2 linked regions of the Tamandua tetradactyla genome follow. The protein of the gene in region 1 interacts with the protein of each later gene in a pairwise test. Links are inferred from orthologs where the notes say so. Each region holds a gene or a part of one and is shown on either strand. Other genes may lie near its edges.

Region 1 (11,451 bases):
CGTGCCCAGAGAACAAAGCTCCAGGCTCCAACAACAGAGAGAACATACAGGCAGGAGCAGAGGCCTGTGTCTATCAGGAAGGAGTAGGAGGGAAGGGCACTGCCTGAGGAGTCCGGGAGTCTGGTCATCCCGGGGATGCACGTGGAAGCTTCCGGACAGCAGGGGCCTGCCCCTGGCTGCTTAACGCTTCGACAGCTCATGGGACAGCCAGTCCAGCCCATCGTACAGGCCTGTGCCTTGGGTGGCACAGGTGGCCTGGACATACCACTGTGGGGAGAAGGAAAGGAAGAGGTCAACAGCAGGGAAGGAAAGTGGATGCCTTTACATCTTTGCCCCAGCCTGTGTGGCTCCCCTGGGGAGGCAGGATCCAGTGGGTGGGGTGGGACCCTCACTGTGCGGCTGCGTAAGTGCTGTAGTCCCAGCTTGTCGGTCAGCTCGCTCACAGGCATGGCGTTGGGCATGTCTTGCTTGTTGGCAAATACCAGCAGCACCGCATCCCGCAGCTCATCCTCCTGCAGCTAAGAGGGTAGAAGAGGTGGCAGGATCTGAGGTTCCATCAGTGTCTCCAGAGTCCCTTCTCCCTGCTATGCTGGGAGTCCCCCATTCTACCTTCTAGGATTATAATTGAGCTTGAGACTCCCTAGGTCTTAAGACTAGGAATAGCATTTTTCTAATTTGAGTACATGCCCTAGTCAAAATGACCACATTTCCAAATGGGAAAACCAAAACGTCAGATGATGTTTCTCTCCACCATGTAAACCCCCTCTCCCACCCAACTTCCCACAGTCGGACATGAAGGTAAGAATTCAAGGAAAAAAATCAGTCCTGTGCTTTTTTACCAAAACTGAAAACAGGGTGAGATACATAATGTGTCCACAAAGAAACACGTACATTCTTAGCTCTCGAGGTCTGTGAGAAACATCTACGCTAGCCCCAAGATCTCTTTGTCCCCTACGTGGAGGGCTCAGTTTCCAGGGCTCCAGGTGCTCACCATCTTCTGGAGTTCATCGGCAGATTCTTGGACCCGCTCCCGGTCATTACTGTCCACCACGAAGATGAGGCCCTGGATGGGAAGCAAGAAAGGAAAAAGGAACGAACGATCATCCCCAACTGGAACATGCTCTAGTCTGCTCCTCTCTCTCATCTTCCCTTCTTTAATTGGGCCTAAATCCCTCTTGTCTAGCAAGCTTTCACCAAGGCCCTGCAGAAATCCTAGCACAAGCTGGAGACACCACAGCAAAGGATGCAGCCTCTGTTCTCAAGGAGTGAGTGGTCTAGCTAAAAGGTGTTCAAGGGAACAGACAATAAAGCTATGGTGATGCGAGCTCAGTCAGGCAGCGTGGACCCAGGGCTCTGTTTCTCAGAAGCCTAAGAGGATGAAGTCTCAGAAGGATGAGTAGAGGCCAGCCAAGAAAAGGGGGAAGAGGAAGAAAGGTTTTTTTCTTTTTAACCTGGCCTGGGGACCCAGCTAGGCTACCTTCTCAGTCCTAGCCCTACTTTCTCTTCCCTGGGGTTCCCAAGCTCCTACCTGAGTGTTCTGGAAATAGTGCCGCCACAGAGGTCGAATCTTGTCCTGGCCTCCCACGTCCCAGACCGTGAAACAAATGTTCTTATATTCCACTGTTTCCACATTGAAGCCTACAGATAATTGGAAAAATATGGAAAAAAGTCTTGTAAAGAAGGACTCACTAAAACTACTTGGATCTCAGCAGGGACACAAAACCAGAGGGCAGTGATCAAGAACAGGGGAAAAGAACCCCAGAGAACCGGCAGTCAACAGCTGGGGCGGGGCTAGTTCACATTCACCCCGCCTCCCGCAGTATTCCCGCCCCCCCCACCCCCCCACCCCCCCACCCCGCAAGTAGAGAGACATCCAGACCCACTTCTCAAGTAGCCGTATCTGGTGTCAGGGTCAGCTCCGGGGAGAGAGATAAGGGCCTCAGGCAGAACAGGGAGCAGACCCCGAGAAGGATCGCGGTGGTGCTCCCGCTCCCCGGCTCACCTATGGTGGGGATGGTGGTGACAATCTCCCCCAATTTCAGTTTGTACAGGATTGTGGTCTTGCCAGCTGCATCCAAGCCAACTACAACGGAGAGGGGCAGAGAGATGGAAACGGGAATGAGGGAGCCCCCTAGAGACCAGGGAAGGGGAGAGGTCAGGACTGCGGGTGGTGACGGGGGCGGAGAGCCGGAGCGCGTCCAGGTGCGCGCTGTTATCTACCCCAGGGGCCTGAGGGCAGTCAGGATGATGTGCGCCAACTCCTGCCCCCAAACTGGGCAAGAAGGGAGAAAACTGGGGTTGGGGTTTGCGGGAGTAAGGGACACCGGAGGAGGGCCGCGCTCCTCTAAAAGGCGTCCCCAAGGGCGGAATCTTCCCTTCTTACCAGCCGGGCCGGGGCGGAGGGCGCTTCACCCCACCCAGGCCCGCCGCTCCCGGTCTCAGGCCTCAGGGGCGGCGCTGCAGACCGGACCCACCCGAGAGCAGCGCCGGTCCTGGGGGCTTAGGAGGTGGGTGCAGCGGGGCCAGAGATCCGGGTGAGCCCGGCTGGAGGGGCGCGGGGGCGGGAGGGCTGCGCGGGGGCCGGCGCCCGGGTCCGGGCCGCGCGCTTGGTCTGCCTCACCCATGAGGATCCGCATCTGCTTCTTCCCGAAGATCCGCGAAAAGAGCGCGGACACTGTGAGGCCCATGGCGGGGCCCGGGGGAGGGGTGCGGGCACGGACGCCGGGTGCGGGCTGGAGGCCGCCGGCCGCGGGGGAACCCGGCGCAGCAGCACTAGCAGCAGCACCAGCACCAGCAGCAGGAGGCTCCGCCGCCGCCGCCTCCTCCGCGCGTCCTGGCCCGCCCTACGTCACCGCGGGCCCCCAGCTCCGCCCCCAGCTCCGCCCCCCAGCCCTCTCCTGGAGAAGTTGAAGCTGAGTCTCCGCACCTTCGCTGAATCCTCCACGGGCTTTGAAGAAGGAAAGGGTCTAGGCCTCTGCAGTTTCTAGCTCGCCTTTCAGGTTTGTGGCTGCTCATATAGCAGCCCGATCGGGGCTGAGGAAAGCCTTCAACTTTCCAAGCAGCCCCCTGTCCCCGTCTTCAGTGGCCCGCCGCTGGGACTTTGGTTCTATTGCGTCCAGCCCACTCTGGGCTCTGCTACAGCCCTTGGAAGGTAGCTGCACCTACTGCGTGCACCACCCACCTTAGGAGAGCGGAAACTCCGTTCTTACTCCTCCCTTTTGCCTCCTCAGCTCCTAATGAGGCGCTTTATGCGTAGGTGATAAAGGGACTGCAGAATCAGGTGAGGAGTGAGCCAGAGATGAGGGAAGATGCCCTGGTGATAGCTTTCATGGTTCTTTAAAACGCCTGGTTTATAGCTCTTCAAGCAGTAGCTCTCGGCTGCATGGTCGCAGACCCACCCCTAGAGTGCTGGAGAACTCTGCCTTCGCCATAATGCCCTGGGAACACTGCCTTTCAATCTGGGGCCACGCAGCTTTTCTGAAGTTCCTTTCTCCATTTTGCCACGAACATGGGAACCTGGATTAATGCACACCTGTCCAGGATTTATGGGCTTCTTGCCTCCCTAGACCCAAAGAACTTCACAAACAATCTTCCCCTCTTAGCATCTGAGAGGAAAAGCAAGATAGGAAAGAACCTAAATTTCTAGAGACTGGGATCAGTACCCAGGCACCTAAATTATGCTTAGCAAATACTTGTTGGGTTAAACTGGACTGATAGGGAGCTCAGTGGAGCAAGTACAGACATTATATTTATTCTGGAGTCCCAGTGGGCTTCTAGGATCAACTGCTTATGGACTAGGTTGGGAATCAGAAAATCTTCATTCATTCATTTACTCAACAAATATTTATTGAGTATTCCCATGTGCCAGCACCATTCCAAGTCTTAGTTTAAATCTGTTCTGCCATTTTTTTGAGAGTTTGGCTTAAACAACCCTCACAATTCTGTGGTTTTCTCATCTATAAAAGGACAATGTCTGCCATATTTATCTCAGGAGATTATGGTAAATGGGATAATTGTATCTGAATGTTTTGTGTTAGGCAGCTAGATTTTACTGGGCCACAAAGAAACTGGAATGAAGCACACTTCTAGGGCCTGCCCCATCATGGTCTGCAAAGTGGAATGAGAACAGACTTTGGGAACAAGGTGTGCACAAGTGCATGGTTTTCCTTTGCTCTTCAGTCATATATTCCATTCTTAGGAAGGCTCATACCAGGTAAAAAAAAAAAAAGTACATTTAAAAAGTACCAATATAAGAGGCAGGCTCGCTCAGTCACTTGCCTCCAATGTCTGTGCTGTGCTGCTTGTTTGCGGCTGTCCTCACCTCCTTCTCGGCTTTGGACCTCTACTGATACTGTGTCAGACAGGCTCCTGAGGCCTCTCCTTAAAGCTATTTGCCTTCCTTGTATTGGCTCTTGGGCTGCTGGACTTTAGAGACTCAGGAATCCTCCATCTTTAAATGTGTTGTATGCCCCTGACCCAGTTATTGGGTACTACCTGCGTTGGCAGCTTGCAGTTAAGCAAGCAAATAAATTGCATTAGCATCCAAAAAATAATAATAAATTGCATTAGCATAAAAAAAAGTACCCATATAATAACACAGCTAGTGGCCACCAAGTTAGGTCAGTTCTACATCTTTGGCTCTTTAATCATCCCCTTTCTTTCCATCCCAGTTGTCACTGTCCTATTTTACTAAAACTCTTCCCTATAATTGAGCCTTCTCACCTGACTCCTGCTCCTGATATCTTACCCTGCTATAGTAGTCCTGATGGTACTACCCTTGAGATGAAAATCTTTGGTATCTTCCTATCACCCAAGATAAAATCGAAGTGCCTTAATTGGGTTCCCACCTGTTGTGCCTTCCCATCTGTTGTCACCTACTTCACATACCCAAAGCTACTGTCTTGATGTGATTCTTAATGCTTTCTGGATGAGCCAGGCTTTCAGATGCCTCTTGTGATCTTTTCATTCTGCCGGGAATGCTGGTTTCCTTCATTTCTAGTTAGATGGGCAGCTGTTTCTCATCTTCCAAAACCAATGTATTTTCCCCAAGAGTCTTCTCTGCCTATTCCTGTCTTAAGTTCCGTACCACTTTGAAAATATCCATCAATACTGGTATGATAGCAGGATTTGTGTTTGCATATCAGTTCCTCACTAGATTGTGAGCTCCTTGAGGACAGGGCCATGTCCCTTCACAGTATTATCATCTGGCACATCATCTAATATGCAGTGTCAGGCTGATCTGGTTAGGATTCCTAAACTTACTAGCTTGGCCATGTTACTTACCCTGTCTGTGCCTCATGTTTTCATATCTGTAAAACTGTATTAATGTTACTGAGTAGAATTATTGCAAAGACTCGGTAGCAAACTCTTGTGAAGTTACTGGCATACATTTGGTCGATACGAAGTGCTCTCTATAAATATTTATTGAATCGACTCACGAAGAGTGCTAACAATTATTATATTATATGCCTATTAGGTGCCAAGCAAGCACTGAGCCAGAAACAGCTGCAGTTTCCATGGTAAAAAAGGGACTCTATGGCACTTTAGGGGCATACTTACTGGGCCCCAAATAGTAGGGACGCTTCGCCCACCTGGAGTGTTCGGCAGGAATGCAGGGCGACATCGCCCCCTGAAGCTCTCTGATCGAGCCCGAAGGGCAACTTCAGGCGCCCTGACGTCACCAGATTAAACCACCCAGTGTCCTCGACTTTGCTTACTCCGTTCTTCCCAAGACGGTTCCTCTACCGGTAAACCCACCGAGCTCTCAGCCGGCAACTGCCTCAGCCACAGTTTGAAGTAGCCACGCCTACCTCGCGCCCACTCTGGGCGGAGCCCGGACGGCGTCCTGTCGTCACTTCCAGCGGACCCGAAAGCGCCATTGTCGCGGGCCTCCGTAATAGTAAGCGGTGATGCGACAGCCCTCGGTATAAGCCCTTGGCCGAGCCTGGGCCAAGGGTAGTGGGGGCGGCCCGAGCTGCTGTGGGCTGTGTGAGAAGGGAGCGCGAAGTGGTCAGTGCGGAAAGTGCTGGGGTTGCGGTTCTCTCGTGCGCGCGTCGAGGCTAGGACCCGCTCCCATCCGCCGGGCCTGGCACACCGCGGGCGCCCCTGCCAACTTGCTCCGCCGCCGCATCCGGTACCCGACAGCTGGAAGAAGCAGGTGTGCGCCCCGCAATCGGACAACTCTCTCCCTGTGCCTTATAGTAAGTCCCCGCCCGTGTCTCCGCGGGTCTCTCCCGAGCTGCCTAACGCTGACGTGGAGCAGCCCGCCCAGCACGCTCATGGAGAAGTTTGGGATGAGTTTTGGAGGCGGTCCGAGCAAGAAAGACCTGTTGGATACCATAGAGTCGCAGAAAAAGCAGCTTCTCCAGTACCAGGCACGGCTCAAGGATGTTGTCCGCGCTTATAAAAGCCTCCTGAAGGAGAAGGAGGCTCTAGAGGCCAGCATTAAAGTGCTGTCGGTGTCCCACGAGGCGGATTTGGGTCTCACCGGTGTCCAACCTCCAGGCCTCACCTTTCCTGACTCTGTTGATGACCGGTGCTCCACTCATAGTGGTGATAGCACTGGGACTGCCGCCAGCTTGGATACTGCGGCCAGTCTCACCAGTACCAAGGGTGAGCTTGGGGTAGAAGATGACAAACCGGCCCGTGGACTGCCACCTGCAAAGTCCGAAGAGGCCAGTGGGTCGGAGAGTGGCGTTAGCAGTAGCAGTGGAGATGGACCTTCTGCGGGTGGGGAAGTGGACAAACGACTGCACCAGCTCAAGACTCAGTTGGCTACTTTGACCAGCTCTTTGGCTACAGTCACCCAGGAGAAGTCTCGCATGGAGGCTTCTTACCTGGCCGACAAGAAGAAGATGAAACAGGACTTAGAGGATGCCAATAAAAAGGCAGAGGAGGAGAGGGGCCTTCTGGAGGGGGAATTGAAGGGGCTGCAGGAGCAGATAGCAGAAACCAAAGCCCGACTTATCTCGCAGCAGCATGATAGGGCCCAAGAGCAGAGTGACCATGCCTTGATGCTGCGTGAGCTCCAGAAACTGCTGCAGGAAGAAAGGACCCAGCGCCAGGATTTGGAGCTCCGGTTGGAAGAGACCCGAGAAGCCCTGGTGGGGCGAGCATATGCAGCTGATCAGATAGAAGGATTTGAACTGCAGACCAAGCAGCTGAGCCGTGAAGTGGAGATGCTGAAGGGTGAACTGCAGGCTCTTCGGGATGAGAAGAATCGACCTGACTCTCGGGTGCAGGAGCTTCAGGAAGAGGCTGCTTGCTTAAAGAATCATTTCCAAGCTCAGTTGCAGCAGGAAATGAGGAAGGTAATTATCCCTTCATACATTTGTCATTAATCTGAAGTGGAAAATATTAGGGTTTTTCCTCCATTAGTAATTTGTAATTTTAGATCCAAGTGGCTCCACTGGCATTTTTGATACTATCTGTAAAGTTTGACTAGGTAATTCTGGGAAATCCTGTTCTGTATGATGTTGACAGTATCCACTGTTAGTGTCCAGCTTCCAATAGAACATGACATTTCTAAGTGTAGGCCGTATGGGAGCCAGGCAGCTTTGAGCTTCTGGCTATTGGCATCTTGTCAGCTGTGCTCCGGGAAGCAGTATAGTGGCAACTGTTCAGTGAAATATAGTGTATGGAGGACTCATGGGGGAATAAATAAGTTTTCTCAGAAGAAACAATCTTTTGTAATTGCTTTCAGTCTAGGATTGTCTGTTCTGGAAAGTTGTGCTATTTCACAGTGCATCTTTACAGTATGGAAAGATCCAACTCAGTTTTAAATTTCTAGGAATACTGGAAGAGGGAAAAACATGATTTCTTAATAGGATTTGGGAGTGTACATAATAAGCATCAGGAATGCACTTTATATGTGAGCTAAGTGTATGATGGGAGGAAAATGGGAGCATTAAAGCAGAACAGCACCAAATATACAAAGGTGCTTAATATTGTTTGGTATGATATGTATCTGGGAACAGAACAAGTAAGCCATAGGAACTTTTGTTAGCACTCTAATCTGCAGAAAAATCCTTTGTTCTCATTCTTGCCAGGCCACCCCATCCTGTGACCCATTTTGCTCTCTCTCTTGCTTTCTCAAAATTTGCCACAGGTCTTTGTGGCTTTTCTCAATACAACATGTCCCCTTGTTTTGCAGACAGCCCTTGTAGAGGATCAACTCCGCCAGCAATCTCAGATGGAAGAGCAGAGGGTGGCGGCCCTGGAGAACCAAATATCTGAGGTGTCTGAACTGCTTGGTACCTATGAGAAAGCCAAACAGAAGGACCAGCTGGCCATCCAGAAGTTGAAGGAGCGCATGCTGCAGCTGGACATGGAGAACAGGACTCTGGCTCTAGCTGCCTCCAGCAGATCCCCTCTAGACAGCCATGGAGAGGAGTCCAGTTTGGATGTCAATGTCCTGAAGGATAAGATGGAGAAGCTAAAGAGGCTACTGCAGGTCGCAGCCAGGAAAAGCCAGATGACCCTGGATGTGGAGAAGCTCTGCGACCTAGAGATAATGCCTAGCTCGGAGGCGGCTGATGGGGAGAAGGCTACTGCGCTCTACTATCAGCAGGAGCTGAAACAGCTGAAGGAAGAGTTTGAGAGGTACAAGATGAGGGCCCAGGTCGTCCTCAAGAACAAGAGCACCAAAGATGGTAACGTGGCAAAGGAGCTGGAGGAAGCCCAGGAACAGCTTGCAGAGCTAAAGGAGAAGTATATCTCCCTGCGGCTATCCTGTGAGGAACTCGAGCGGCAGCACCAACAGGAGGCTGAGGCTCAGAAGCAGGAGCTGTCCCGGCTGCAGCAGCTCCACCGGCAGGAGCTGGAGCGGAGCCAGCTGGACTTCAGGGACCGCACACTGAAGCTGGAGGAGGAGCTGCACAAGCAGCGGGACCGTGCCCTGACTGTCCTGGCGGAGAAGGATTTGGAGCTGGAGCAACTGCGCTCTGTGGCTTTTTCCTCTGGGCTGCCGGGACGCAGAAGCCCTGTGGGTAGTGGGGGTCTTGGAGACCCAGCTGACACATCTGCCTCGGATAGCCTGACCCAAGCACTGCAACTTGCTGCGGCCAACGAGCCCACGTTCTTCCTGTATGCTGAGCAGTTGGCCCGCAAAGAGGTGGAGATCACATCACTCAGGAAACAGAAGCACAGGCTGGAGGTAGAGGTGCATCAGCTGCAGGATCGGCTGCTGGAGGAGGGGGAGCGGCATCGTGAGGAGGTTGGAGCCCTGCAGAGCCACATTGAAAAGAACATCAGGGACCAGAGTAGGGAGGGAGCCAACCTGGAGTACCTCAAAAACATCATCTACCGTTTTCTGACCTTGCCTGACATGCTGGGCCGCCAGCAGACGCTCACAGCCATTCTGACTATCTTGCACTTCAGTCCAGAGGAGAAACAAGTGATAATGCGGCTCCCAGCCAGTGGTAGCTGGTGGCCTTCTGGCAAGAGATGATGCCATTTTCACTGACTTCTGAGACTTCTGTGCCTCTTCGTGTGGGAAGGGGCAGACTATGGTTTCTACTGCCTCTGCCTCTTCTGTTTTTGTTTATTTCTTCACTGTGTTGAACTGGGAGGAATCTTCACTGTGGGATGGGATTTTCTGCCACATGCCATCAATGCATCTGGGCCCTAAGGATACTGAAAGTGTTGGGATAACATCTTCTGGTGGCATGTACGTGTGTGTCTTGGATTGTGAGGGGGAAGAGGTTAAAACTGAGGTGCAGAAGTTGAGGAAGTGGTGAGAATCTCTTAAAATAAGATTTTTTTGTTGTTTTAATATTATGCTTCTTGCTTAGAGCTAGGAGTAAATGTGTCTCCGAAGGGAGTTCAGTTAACTAATTTTTCAACATGCCCTGAGATGTACAATGACCATTTACTCCATCACAGTCTGAGTCTGGTCCAATGCTGCTCCTATTTTCTGGGGACATAAATCCAGGCTGGAAAGGGCTAGGAAGCTTGAAATAGTGACAGATTGTCCACTTGTCCAAAGGGTCAAGGAATAGTGAGTTCTTGGAACCAGGAAGTTTGTTTTAGTTAGGGCCAGGGTGTGACCCAAAAGATCTAGACAAAACATGCCATTTATAACCATCCTAGAGAGGGCCCTGAGTACCATTTTGACTTTAAGAAAGTTTCTGAGTGACTTGCTTGGGCCTAGCTAAGGTTAAAATAGGCTTCATACTTGTTCCTTCCTTAATTTGTCTGCCTAAGGTTGACTTTGCTGTCTTTTCTCGGTGTTGAACTTTTCATTAAGAAACAAAATCTTAGCTTCTTATGAAGAGGGTTTGGATTGGTAAACTAATCCTGCTGGGGTACAAGGAACAAGCTCAGAGATTTGCTAACCTCTGTTTCTACCTTTGTAGGGACAAGGAAGGAGGAGAAAGATTTGTTGCAGAGGATTCCAAAAGGTTATTGTCATCCTTATAGGAAAGTGATGAAAGTTCAGCTGAGGCTGGGCTGGGGTACTTCCTGCCCTGTAGCCAGCATTCTGGCTAAATCTCCACCTCCCTGAAACCAGGGTGCCTGTTGTTTACTGTAACCAGGGTATTTAGACCACCCCTTAGGGAGGTAATAGCATTTTAATCTGCAGTCCTCATGTTCCCATACATGTTGTTGTAACTTTTCCTCCTTCAAAGGGATTTCTTTTATTTTCTCTTGTATAAATATTTTCATTCTGGTGCTCGCTTCAGCAGCACATACACAAATGTATTCATTCTGCTTTTAAGGAGAGGAGGGACTCCTTTCCCCTGATTTGCCTTGTTGTTTATAGAGATCTTTGGATCCTAAAGATCCATACTTTCCATTAACTGGCCTAATAATCTTTCTGCTATTTCCCTATAGAGATCTGTTTTCTGAGGGTTTGGGGTCCAAAAGTCTTTGATTAAATGTTCTGAATGGGAGGCTAGGTGACCTGGAGTATTGACAGTGAATGGAATTAAAGAACGAAGTGATATGTTCAAATGATAACATAAACAAGAAATCAGTAACCCTGAGTGACTTGACTTGTGTCTTTCCTTAGTGGTTTGTATGGCTACGCACAGAGTATGAATGTAAATGGTGAATGGAAGAATGGAAATACTCCAGGAACCTCAATCCAGGAGGAATCCCCTCAGTGCTTCAGCTGCATCAATTCGCAACACAAATTTCTTAGCCTTTGTATGTGTATATTTTGTGTAGACAACAACACTAGAAAAAACTTTCTCATGGGTTTTGTGGGTGAACTTGAAACTTTTGTAATTACTGCTTTAAACTCTAGAAGTAATCTATTTATGAATGCTTTACTCTGCTTAAAATCAAGATTCATGAATCCTGGAAAAGTTTCTAAAGACACCAAGATAGCTAAATAGTAATTACAGACTTTCCCTTACTTTCCTTACCTGGAGCTCCCTAAATGTCAGATGTTTTTGTTGTGGTTGTTGGTATTTCTGGGTGGTTATGGACAGAATAGAAAGATCCATC
Region 2 (11,438 bases), on another chromosome or scaffold:
TTTCTCTGAAGCATTCTGGATGTCTTTTGACCTTTCTTTAGTTCACCAATTCTCTTTTCAGCTGCGTTTATTTTGCTTATACACGCTTGTCCAGTGTGTGTATGCATGTATTTCTACTGGGAAATATAAACGACTGCTACATTTCGAACTAGCTTTCAAAGTTAATTTCAGTTATTATATTTTTAATTTCTAGAGATGTTCTATTTGGTTCTTCATTGCTGGGTCAGATTTTGTAGTTGCTTGTTCCCTACAGGCATTTTTAAATTTGCCTTCCCTCTAATATGGAGAACATAATTGTTTCATAATCTAGATCTGAAAGCTCCACTACTTGGAAACTTTTCAGGTCTATTTCTGTTGTCATTCCTTATGTTTTCTTGTTTCCTTTTGTGCCTAGTTATCTTTGACTGTGTCTTCCTCACTTTCATGGGAAAACAAAGCAAAACAAAACAAAAAAGCTCCAAAGAGGATTTACACTTGTTTATGCACCAAACCTATTCCCATCTTGGACCCATTTTAACTAGACCCACCACGGGCAGCTCATTTCACCTGGCTTTCGAGTGGGACCCCCAGGCTCAGCCCACCTCCACTGTGCCCCATCTTACTTCTTAGAGCCTTGCAATTCCATCACCTGAAGCTTCTGGAAGATCTCAGGGGGCAGAAAAGGAGAGAGCTTGCCCCCTTCATCTGAGTACACCCGGCGGTGTCGGCTGGCAGGTGAGAGGACTGGCGCAGCCACGGGCATGGCAGGCTTGAGGCCTGTTTTCCCTGTAGACCATACACAGCCAGGGTCAGCAGAATGGCCCTACGTTCCACAAAGATTCAGACTTGGGGGGGAGGCTCCAGGAAAATCTCCTGCAGGAGACCTACCAAGTTTGGCTGCTGTTGACTGGGCCCTCTCCAAGCACTGCTCAGCAAGCTTCAGCATCTTGGAGGTATCTGGGGGCACTGCTTCCCCAGCTTCTAGGGAGCAGGAGAGAAGACAGACAGCTACCTTCAGCTTGAACACTAACTGGATTCTTGTTGAAGTAAAAAAGGCAGTTAGAAAGCCTTCCTGGGTTTGCTGCAAGCTTCCGTGACAGGTTCAGGACTCAGAATGACCTTTGAAGTTCTCTACTCTGCATCCTACGGCCCTCTGCAAGGTCAGCCGAGCAGCTGCCAGAGGGCCTTGTACAGTGACAAGGAGATGCTCAAGTGGGATTGCCTCAGTTCTCGCCATCTCATCTCTCACCTGCCTGCGTCTGCACAGAGCTGCTTTCCTGCAGGCTGCCTTCACGCACTTCTGGGCACCCCTCACACCTCTCCAGAGGTCTTTGCTCTGCCTACACAATCCTCTGTGGACCACTCCTATTAGCAGACCCACACACTGTAGGAGCTGCTGCCCCCAAACCCTTCCTTGGACCCCACCAGCTCCAGCTCCAACCTGGCTCCCTGCCGCCCTTAACAGTGAGCCCCTCAGATACTCCCATTTCCCCCCCGCTCCACTTTTCTTTCTAGCTTCACAACTCCCACTGCAGCTGTCTTACCCACTCCCACCTTGCCTTCCTTTCTGTGTCCTTCCTCCCCTTTGGAGCATCTTAGAGCTCAGCAGTCCCTAGGGAAATGCCTGTTTGCCGGAGACTTAGTTTATACCCATGCCTTCCCCCCTTTCTCTGACCCCTACTTCTGCATCCAATGGGCTGCTGGACAGCTGCACCCATGGGTCTTGGCACCTCAAACTTACTGTATGCAAGACTGAACTCTGTTCCTCTCCTCACAAATCTGTTCCCTGTAGTCCCACCAGCAGCACTGCCCCTCCCCAGCGGCTCACACCCCCAGTCCCATGGGTGGAGTCCACCTTTGCAGTATGTCCTCCAGGCCCTCACCCCTCCTTACACTAGGAGTCTCCCCAAGGCTCAGCTTCCATCCACAGCCCCCCTCAAGCCAGAATGACCCCACCTCTACCCCCAGGCCCACAGAACCCTGTATCTCTGCCCAGCGCTGGTGACATCCCTCCTCTGGTTCTCTTGTGGACACACTGCCCATTTCCATCTAGGACCCAGGCCCATCCCTTTGTGTGGATGGCTCTGTTCCGTCCTCTGCACCCCCTCCTGTCACCTCCTCTGACCCTCCCACCATGCCTCCATGCTTCTCTGGCCTCTCGTCCACAGCACATCCTGCCCGCTCCAGGTCACACTCTGGCAATGATGCTTACAGAGCACAAGGGTCCACCTTCCGCTAACGACATAGGGGACTTCAGGCTGGGCACCCACCAAGGGCTGAGGACCCCCTTTCGTTTTTTATTTAATTTAATTTTTATTTATTTATTTATTAAACATGACAACATACATTTTTACCATATGATCATTCCATTCTTGATATATAATCAGTAACTCACAATATCATCACATAGCTGTATATTCATTATCATGATCATTTCTCAGAACATTTGCATCAATTCAGAAAAATAAAAAGAAAACAGAAAAAAATTCATACACATCACCCCCTTCCCCTTCCTGTGGACCCTTCCCCTCACCTTTGCTGGCGTCCACTTCGTCCAGCAGCACCTGGGAGATGTAGTGGATGCTCCTCAGGTACGCGGCATATGCCTCCTGGGCATGGGAGAGACAGGTGGGTCAGCCAGCGGAAGCCAAGAGCCTTTGGGAAAGGTGGCAGAGTGGGGCCTGCATGTCTCTGAGACACAAGGGGGCAGCCAGGCTCCTGCCACTCTGCAGGGGTCCCCTAATCGCAGATGACCCTCACTCCTCCAGATCTGAGGGGGATGCCAGCCCCTGAGAACATAAGGACACTTCTCTCTATAAGTGCTGCCTCAGGCACCGAGAGGGGTCCAGCTGGCACCCATCCCTCCTTGCTGTGTTTCTCTCCAGCACAGGGAGGAAGTAAGATTCTCATTTGGTGGGACTGGGTAGACAGTCTCAACAAGTGCACCCACGTTTCAGTCTGAGTGTCCTTTCTGTGCTCACAACGCAGGCACCATTTGTTCAGGGGCTTTACAAGAAACAAAAAGTCCTGGGTTGTATATGCTAGACCCTCCTCCTGCCTTGGCGTGGGGGCCTGAACCATGCATCTAGTTTGGACCTGGTCTTGGCCCTACTCTGCATTCTGGGGTGTGGCCCACTTTAAGTAAGGTCTCTTCAAGACGTCACTTCAGTGACAGTGTGGCCCTAATGAATCAGCTGGGCCTTTAATCGGGATCACTGGAGTCCTTCATAAGCAGAGCCAAAGTCAGACGGAGAAGCCTCGGAATCAACAGAACCAGAAGAGGGAGGAGAAGGTGCCACCATGTGCTTTGTGGTGGGACGGAAAAGCCCAGAAACCCCAGAGTTTGCTGGCCAGCCAGGAGATGCCAACTCTGGGAGGAAGCGTACCTTTTAGGCTCTACAAATTCCTGTTACTAAGTCAACCCATTATATGGTATTTATTTTAGGGGCTAAGAAACAAAGACATATTTTTGGTACTGGAAAGTGAGATGCTGCTATGATAAATACTAAACGTACAGAAGCAGCTTCAGAATTGGGTAGGAGGTAAAGGCTAGAAGAATTGTGAGGTGTTAGATACAAAAAGTCGAGTGCACTGAAAAAGCTGTAGGTAGAAATATGGATGCCAAAGGTATTTCAGATGAGGCCTTATAAAGAAATGATGACTGTGTTATTGGAAATTGGGAGAAAGGCAATCTTTCCATAAAATGGCAGAAAACTTGGCAAAATTGCGTTCTGATGTCAGATTGAAAGTAGAACTTGTAAGTTATGAACTTGGATATTTAGCTGAGGTGATTTCCAAGCTAAGGAAGGTATAGCCTGGCTTCTCCTTGCAGCTTACTGTAAAATATAAGAGGAAGGGGTTAAACTGAGAACTGAACTCATAAGCACAAAGAAACCAGAAATTGGCAGTTTGGAACATTCAGTTCATTCGACTACCTGCTCTAACACTAGGGCCAGAGGCGGCTCTGGCAGAAGCTTCTCTGAGCTTCTGGGAAGGGAGTCCCCACAGAACAGGGCTTCACAGGAGGGTTTAATGGAACAACTCTATGCGAAAGAAGGTGTGGCTGAACGTGGATTAGCCAGACTCTTGAGTGGAAATCAGGATGGGAAACGCAGTTATCCAGGATCTATACAAAGTTCTACCATCTGATGGCTTGGACCCATTTGAATTACACATGTCTTTTGCAAAATTTTCATGGGCAGAACCACTGTCAGCCCAGATTGAAAGGGACAGAGAAAGGACAAATTGAAGGAAGAACAATTTTAAGACCAGAACCATGGAAGCAAAGGTCTGGACTGAAAAGACCTCAGGCCAAGCGAGGGAGCCCACCTGCTACGTGGGAAGGGCAGGTCATCTACCCCAGTGCTTGGAGGAGGCGGCCCAAGCTCAGGGACAGTGCTGCTGCCCCAATGTTCAGAGACGGTGGGGTCTGTGTTCCAGTGTTTGCAGAGAGACTGGCCGCCATCCTGAGCTTTGCAGACCTTCACCCCAGTGTTTCGGGTGAGCATGGCCACTGCACAAGCTCTTAGAAGGGTATGCCGGCCCCACTATTGTATATTGGGAGCAAATAACTTGTTCTCCAGGTTTCACAGGTCGACAGACAAAGGGAATTAGGCCCCAGGACAGACATACCCATAATCAATTTTGATGAGGCTTTCTACCAAGCACTATTAGTGGAACAACTTAAGGCTTTTAGATGGTTGTGATGGAACAAATGTATTTCGCACGTTGGAAGGATGTGTCTTTTGGGGAGCTAGAGAGTGGACTGTGGTGGGCTGACTCATGCTTCAGTACAGACACATTCTTGGTCTTGGGTGTGAACCCGTCCTAAGTAAGATCTCTTCAAACTGTTTTTTCAGTTAAGGTGTGGGCCCAGTGAACCAGGCTGGGCTTTAATTCGGATTACTGGAGTCCTTTGTTAAGAGCAGGGGGAAAGTCAGAGGGAGAGAAGCCGTGGGGAGCAGTAGAAGCTGGAAGTCAGAGGAACCCAGAAGAGGCTACCATATACATTGTTAAGTAATGGAAAAGTCAAGGAGCCCCAAAGAGAGCTGGTCAGCCAGAAGACAGGGGCGCTGGGAGGAAGCAAGCCTTCCGGGCTGAGACGTGAGCCCATAAATCCCCCTTGTGAAGCCAACCCGTGGTGCAGCGTTTGCTGAGCAGCCGGGACACTGAGGCACCGGGAAGCCCCGTTCCGGAGCCCCAGAGGAGGGGCTCCCTGGGCAGATGCAAAGCACCGGACGTGTTGGAGCCTCCGGCCTCGGGCAGGAGGGACCACGGCACAGCGCTCTGTCCTGGCATTCCAGGTCCCTGGCCACTCACTACCTTCAAGCCCACACCTGGAGATCAACCAGGGTGGCGCGGATGCCGGGCAAGGTTTCTGACCTGTGGGGCGGCTGGCCGAGGGTCGAGACGGGGCAAAGTGCTGGGCCCCGGCGCCGGAGGGTGAGCGCGGCTCGCGCGGCCCTGCCCGCTTCTCCACCTGCCCCGCCTGGGCCGCGCGCCCTCCCGCTCGCCTGCGTCTCTTCCCGGGCAAGGTGGCCCGAGCGGCGCCGGAGGAGCTGCGAGCGGCCCTTTCCCGGAGCGCGGGCCCCGGGCTGCCGCGAGTCTCCTTCACAAACGCACCGCGGCCACGTCGGCCGACCCCGACGGGTCGCGCGGAGCCGAACCGGGCCCTCCCGCCAGTCCTCCGCCCGCCGGGCCCCCGCGCCGCCGCTCTCCGCGACCCCGCCCTCGCCGCGCCTCACCCGGGGCCGGTTGCCGGTGTCCAGCTCGATGGCCCCGTTGGCGAGTTTCATGGCGTTCTGCAGCGGCTTCGCCGTGCTGTCCCCGGCCGCAGCGGCCATGGCGCCGGGCGGCGGGGACAGCGGAGGCGGCGGCCGCGGGGCGGGGCGGCGGCCCCGGCCGGGAACCCGGAACCCCGCCAGCGAGAGCTCAGGAGCCGCCCGAGCAGCGGACCGGCGGAAGGGGCGGGGCCTCCGCGACAGCACTTCCGGTCCCCGCCCACCGCCCGAGCCTGTCTCGAATCCCGGCTGCCTGCCGGTGGCGGAGAGCGCGTTTTGCGGCGCGAAGTTTGGCCCGCTACCCGGACTGGCATGTGGGAAGGGAGAGGCGTGATGAGAGCCCTCTCCTACCGCCCTGAGCCGGGGTCCTCGCTCTTGCTCTGTGAGGCGCAGTCGGCGCAGGCCCCTCCGGCGTTTGCCCGCCCGCGCCTCAGTTTTCCTTCGGTAAAGTGGGGATAAGAGCAGGTCGGCGCTCCCACACGGGCGTCCGCGAAGCCGAGCGTTCAGCACGGCGCCCGGCCCGGGGACAGCGCTTCCCGGGCGTTAGCAGCTGCCCTAATAGAAGGGTCGGGGCCGCCGGACTCGAACTTCGCCTGGTTCGCGCCCCTCCCGGGCAGCTTCGGCCCCGCCCTTCGCCACTTTCCGCTCCGCCTCCCTGGGAGCGATCTTGGTGGAGCCTGTAGACGCCGGGCCGAGCGGGGACGAGCCGAGCCGAGCGCGGCCGAGTGAGCCGAGAGGACCCGAGCAGGGCGGACCGAGTGGGGCCGAACCGCGCCGAGAGGAGCCGAGCAGGGCGGATCGAGCGGGGCCGAACCGCGCCGAGAGGACCCGAGCAGGGCGAACCCAGCGGGGCCGGGAGCCTGCCGGGCCTTTTCCCCGGGCCGCGCCATGAAGCGCGACAGGCTTGGCCGCTTCCTGTCGCCCGGGGCGGCCCGGCAGCGCGGGGTCCCTGGCGGCGGTGGCCGGGCCCGGGGCCGCCCCTCCCGCAGTGGGGGGCAGAGCGCGGGCGGGACGGCGGCGGCGCGGCTCGGCTGGGGCCCGACGCGGGCCTGCGGGGCGACCGAGGAGCTCGCGGAGCAGGCAGGTGGGTGGGCCGCCGCCGCGTCTCTCGGGATTCCGGGACGCGGGCGGGGCCGCAGGCCGGGGTGGCGGAGGCCTCAGAGCCGCCGTCTGAGGGTCTCCGTACCTCCCGGGGCGGCGGCCCCAGGGCCCGGGTTGGCTCCAGCGCTGCTGCCACCTCGGCCTCCGCGCGCCCCGCCCGAGGCCCAGCGCGTCGGTAAAGCTGAAGAGTGCACGGGCGACGTGAGTTCGGGGTCCGGCTCGGGGCGGGGAGGGAGCGGCATCGATGACGTCTGGCGGTGGAAAGCCCACCCAGGGAGCCTGCTTCTGGCCCCCCGGGCCAGCGTGGGGAGGAGTGAAGTGGCTCTCTGGAGGCGTGGGGGCTTCTCGGGCCCGGGCGCCTCTTCGGGGCCTGCGTGCTTCGGCTGTAGCGCCCGGAGCCCTGCCGCTGGCCCAGGCCCCCGGTGCCCTTCTCCGCTTCAGGCCTGGGAGGTTGGTGAGGGGGCCTTGGGGTACTAGTGTCCTGGGTGCCCGTGGCATGAGCAGCTCGGAGCCGGCCTCATGGCTGACCAGAGGCATTTCTCACCCACCCTCCCCAGGACCAGGCCGGGCCTTTGCCATGGGGCGCTGCCGCCTCTGCCATGGCAAGTTTTCCTCACGGAGCCTGCGCAGCATCTCTGGCAGGGGGCCTGGGGAGGGCGTGGAGAGCCCACCTGCAGGGGAGCGGGTGTTCGTCAAGGACTTCCAGCGTTTGCTGGGGGTGCCGGTCCTCCAGGACCCCGCGCTCTCGCCGTTTGTCTGCAAGAACTGTCATGCCCAGTTCTACCAGTGCCATGGCATCCTCAGGGCCTTCCTGCAGAGGGTCAACGTCTCTCACACGGGACAGCAGAAGCCGGGCGGAAAGTAAGCACCCATCCATCTGTTTGTCCAGTGGGTGCTGCTCTCATGGCTGGGAGTGTGGCAGACAGTTAGACATAAAAGCTTGGCGAGAACGTTTGTTCTGTTGGGGGACTAGCGTACAGTCAAGTGAGCCCCAGACGTGAGGCATAGGAACAAGGAGACAGACAGGAGGGCAGTGAGGATGGGGGATGTGAGCAGTGGGCAAGGAGGGGCCTGAGGGTGAGGAGGCAACCATGGGAAGAGGTCAAGTAGTCCAGGAACAAAGGACTGGTTGGAGGACTCCTGCCGGGTGTGTTAAGACCTTGGGCACCCACTCGCCCTAAGCCCCCAGGTGCAGCTGCCCCCTCCTGCATCTCCTCCCACTCTAGTGATACACCATGGTTCTTTGCAGGGTCAGTGTCCAGCCGCAGACTGCCACAGAGGAGGGCGTGTGTCTGGGTGAGTGTGTACCCGGGCAGGTGGGCTGGGCAGGTGTGTGGGTATGGTAGCCTGGGTACTGACGGGCTCGGGCCTGTCGTCCCTGTTGTTTCCTTGCAGTGGACGCTGTCACATCAAGCTCCGAGTGTCTGCATGGCCTGGTGGGCTGGGTGCACAGGCACGCGGCCAGCTGCGAGTCCCTGCCCAGCCTACAGAAGGCACTTTCCTCTCAGTACTGCGGTGTTGTCCAGGCCTTGTGGGGCTGTGGCCAGGGCCACAACTACACCATGGACACAGACACTGGCTGTGGGGCCTTCTTGTTGGACAGTACACTGGCGGTCAAGTGGGAGTGGGACAAGGAGTCAGCCATGCGACTCCCCCAGAAGAGAGGCCCCTCCCTTGCTGGGGCCACCCTGCAGGATGCCCCAGGCAGAGGACTCACAGCTGGGGCTGAGAGGACACTGCCTGGCCCGGTCACAGCCCTGCCTTCTGTGGATAGCAGCCCTGTGGGGCCTGCACAGAGCCCTCAGCCTCAACCAAGCCCACCCCCCAGCGGGGCCCCAGGTAGGAGCCGATCGGGCCTGTGCCCGTGGGGCATTCCGCTGTGGGAGGTGGTCATGGTGGTGCGCTGCTGGAGGGGGTTGATGGGGGCTGGCAGGGGGCTGGGCCTGCCCCCCCTCTGAGGTCTCTGCACTGCTTGCCACGTCTGAGGAGCACGTGGTGGCCTCAGTTGCTTCATGAATAGGACCCGTTTCAGTTGTTTCCGAAAAGATGCTCTTTGTGTCTAGTTTTCTCTAGCTTGTGCCCTAGACCGAGGGCACTGAAGAGACACGAAAATGGGGCCTCATTGTGGGGTGCAGGGGAAGAGGACAGACTTTTCCTGTGAGGCTGATGCTTTGGGCCAGCTGCAGGACATTTCCTGGACCTCAGCCAGGGCCCTGGTGACGCCCCAGTACGGCAGTGTGAGCACACAAGAGGGGAAGACACAGGCCTCTTGTTTAGGCCAGGGTCTTGTGTTGGGGTGGGCTAAGCTGCTGCTTGAGGTTGTTGGTCCTGGGAGAGCTTGACCAGCCTTGGCTGCTCCCATCTGCCTGTGCACTGGTCCACATGCATGTTCAGATTTTGCGTCCAAGTCACAACACATAGAGAACACAGCTACCCAGGTGGCTCAGAAAGAGAGAGGTGTGGATGCCGATGAAGTGGCTCGGGTTGGGAAAGGGTGCATGGGGCCTTGGGAAAGGGGGCTAGTGGGGTTGGGTGGAGATTTGCTGTGATTGTGATTGTTACAGCAGTTGGGTATGGCTGTCATTATATGTATTGCTTTGCTAAGTATGCATTTAAAACATCCAAATCACCCACAAAGAATAGTTAATTCACAACCCTACCTCAACAGCTAAATCTGAGTCCTGGGGAGAACATGCCCCTGGGTTTCTGGTACCCAGCATGGCAGGTGCCCTTGCTGGATTCAGAGGTTGGGGGGGTGGCTCTGAAGCTGGGCAGGGCTTGGCGAGAGGGACTCTGTGTGCACACAAGGGAGGTGCCTCCCATGTGGACCCCCCCATCTGTGCTCTCCCAGCCCCTTTGCAGGTAGCAGGCCCTCCACTCTCTGTTGGTGACAGGAGCTTTTTCTTTGTTTCTCAGGGCACTTGAGTGAGAAGCAGCTTCCGTCTTCAGCCTCGGATGATCGGGTAAAAGACGAGTTCAGTGACCTTTCTGAGGGGTGAGAGAAGAGTGGGTTTAAATAGTCTAAAATTTCTTCTTCGAAAACCAAACGCGGCTACCTGGGCGCCCACTTCCAGGCCTTCTCCCTGCAGCTGCGGCGGGAGGACTGCCCGGGCTGGAGGTCTCTGTGGCTTCAGGGCTCCTGCCTGGGGCATCTCAGGTCTCGGAGGCCTTCAGCCAATGCAGCTACAAAAGTGGGCAGGCCATGGCTTGTGTAACCTCGGCAGCGTGGAGGCTGTGTTGTTAAAACTGTCCTATGGTTGGCTCCTTTTCTGTTGCTTGTTTGTGCTTCCCTTAAAAGCTTGAGTTTTGTCTCAGTCCGAATGTTACTCTCCCACGAGGAAGCCAGGTTCAGGTCCTTTTTTAGGACTTGAAGCGGGGGTTTTGTGCTTGAGGCGGCAGAGGAAGCCAGTGACCACCCTTTACAGGTTCTCTTGCTTCCTGTGACCATCACCTGCCTTTGAGCTGAGCCCCTGAAGGTGGTGGTTTGTTCCCCAGGCTGGGTCCCTATACCCTTTTCTCCAGACCCCTGGAGCCTGGCTGGAAAATAGAATCCATCCCTGGCAAATGAGTACGGGGACCAGCACATTGTTGGTACTGGATGAAATAGGGACTTGATGAAGAATTACTGAGGGTTGCTAGAAGGAACAGAGTCTGTGCTGGAAATGTAGCCTGTGGCCACATGTGGCCTGCTAATCCTGGTTCTGCTGGCTAACTTTGGGCCTCTCTCTGTCCAGGCCCAGGGTGGCCTGTAGTGGAAGTGTGGGCAGCTTCCCTGTAGGATCTGGCTTGGCTCAGTTTGGTGCACAACAGAGATTTAGTGGCAATTTATACTTTAGTGTACAGGTGACGGGCATGTAGATTGTTTTCCTTGCCTTCGTAAACTTCCTGGGCAGCCCACTGTGGCCGGGGTCTTCACTCCCTGCTGGGCAGAGTTTGAGGACCCTGATTCTAGGAGAGCCTGGCTTATGGGTGGAATTTTTTTTTTCATGTTCATTTTTTTAAAAATTGTGGTTTAATTTCTAAAATGTAAAGACATTTTAATCAATTTATTGTTTTAATTTTAAAGACTTTTTAATTGTGGTAAGACATATGTAATATAAAAATTAAAACCATATTAAATGGAGAATTCTTTGACAGTAAATTCATTGACAACACTGTGCAACTTTCACCATTTCCAGACAGCTTTTATTTTCCCAAATCAAAACTCATCCTCATTTAGCAGTAACTTCCCATTTCCACCTCCCCCAATCCTAGGTAACTACCGTTCTGCCTTTTGCATCTTTGAATTTGCTTATTCAGAGTATTTTATGTAAGAGAAATCAAACATTATTTGCTATTTTCTGCCTGGCTTGTTTCAGTCAACCTGATGTTTCTAAGGTCCACCAACGCTGTAGTATGTACCAGCACTTCACTTCTTTTTACAGCTGAATAATATCCCTTTGTACAGATAGACCACATTTTGTTTATATATTTATCTGTTGACAGACCCTTGGGTAGCTTCCAACTTTTGGCTATTGTGAATAATGCTGTGATGAACATCAGTGTACAAATTTCTGTTTTGAGTCACTGCTTTCAGTT

The links.
Region 2: the proteins of GCC1 (region 1) and ZNF276 interact in binary tests that used the Homo sapiens proteins (3 or more experiments, as listed by UniProt). The two-hybrid records come from large-scale screens. The link is inferred for Tamandua tetradactyla from reciprocal best matches to the Homo sapiens genes GCC1 and ZNF276.

Annotation. Positions count from the first base shown.
Region 1 is NC_135327.1:168,989,413-169,000,863, reverse strand, and holds GCC1 (GRIP and coiled-coil domain-containing protein 1), read left to right. Parts: upstream 1-6,188; 5' UTR 6,189-6,278; coding exon 6,279-7,310; intron 7,311-8,152; coding exon 8,153-9,448; 3' UTR 9,449-10,985; downstream 10,986-11,451. Other genes in the region: ARF5 (ADP-ribosylation factor 5), read right to left, coding at 181-267, 393-518, 992-1,063, 1,529-1,638, 2,003-2,083, 2,621-2,687. UniProt on the Homo sapiens protein: Probably involved in maintaining Golgi structure.
Region 2 is NC_135342.1:83,814,049-83,825,486, forward strand, and holds the start of ZNF276 (zinc finger protein 276), read left to right. Parts: upstream 1-7,011; 5' UTR 7,012-7,104; coding exon 7,105-7,721; intron 7,722-8,109; coding exon 8,110-8,156; intron 8,157-8,255; coding exon 8,256-8,699; intron 8,700-9,776; coding exon 9,777-9,855; intron 9,856-11,438. Other genes in the region: VPS9D1 (VPS9 domain-containing protein 1), read right to left, coding at 603-765, 868-960, 2,513-2,588, 5,724-5,822. UniProt on the Homo sapiens protein: May be involved in transcriptional regulation.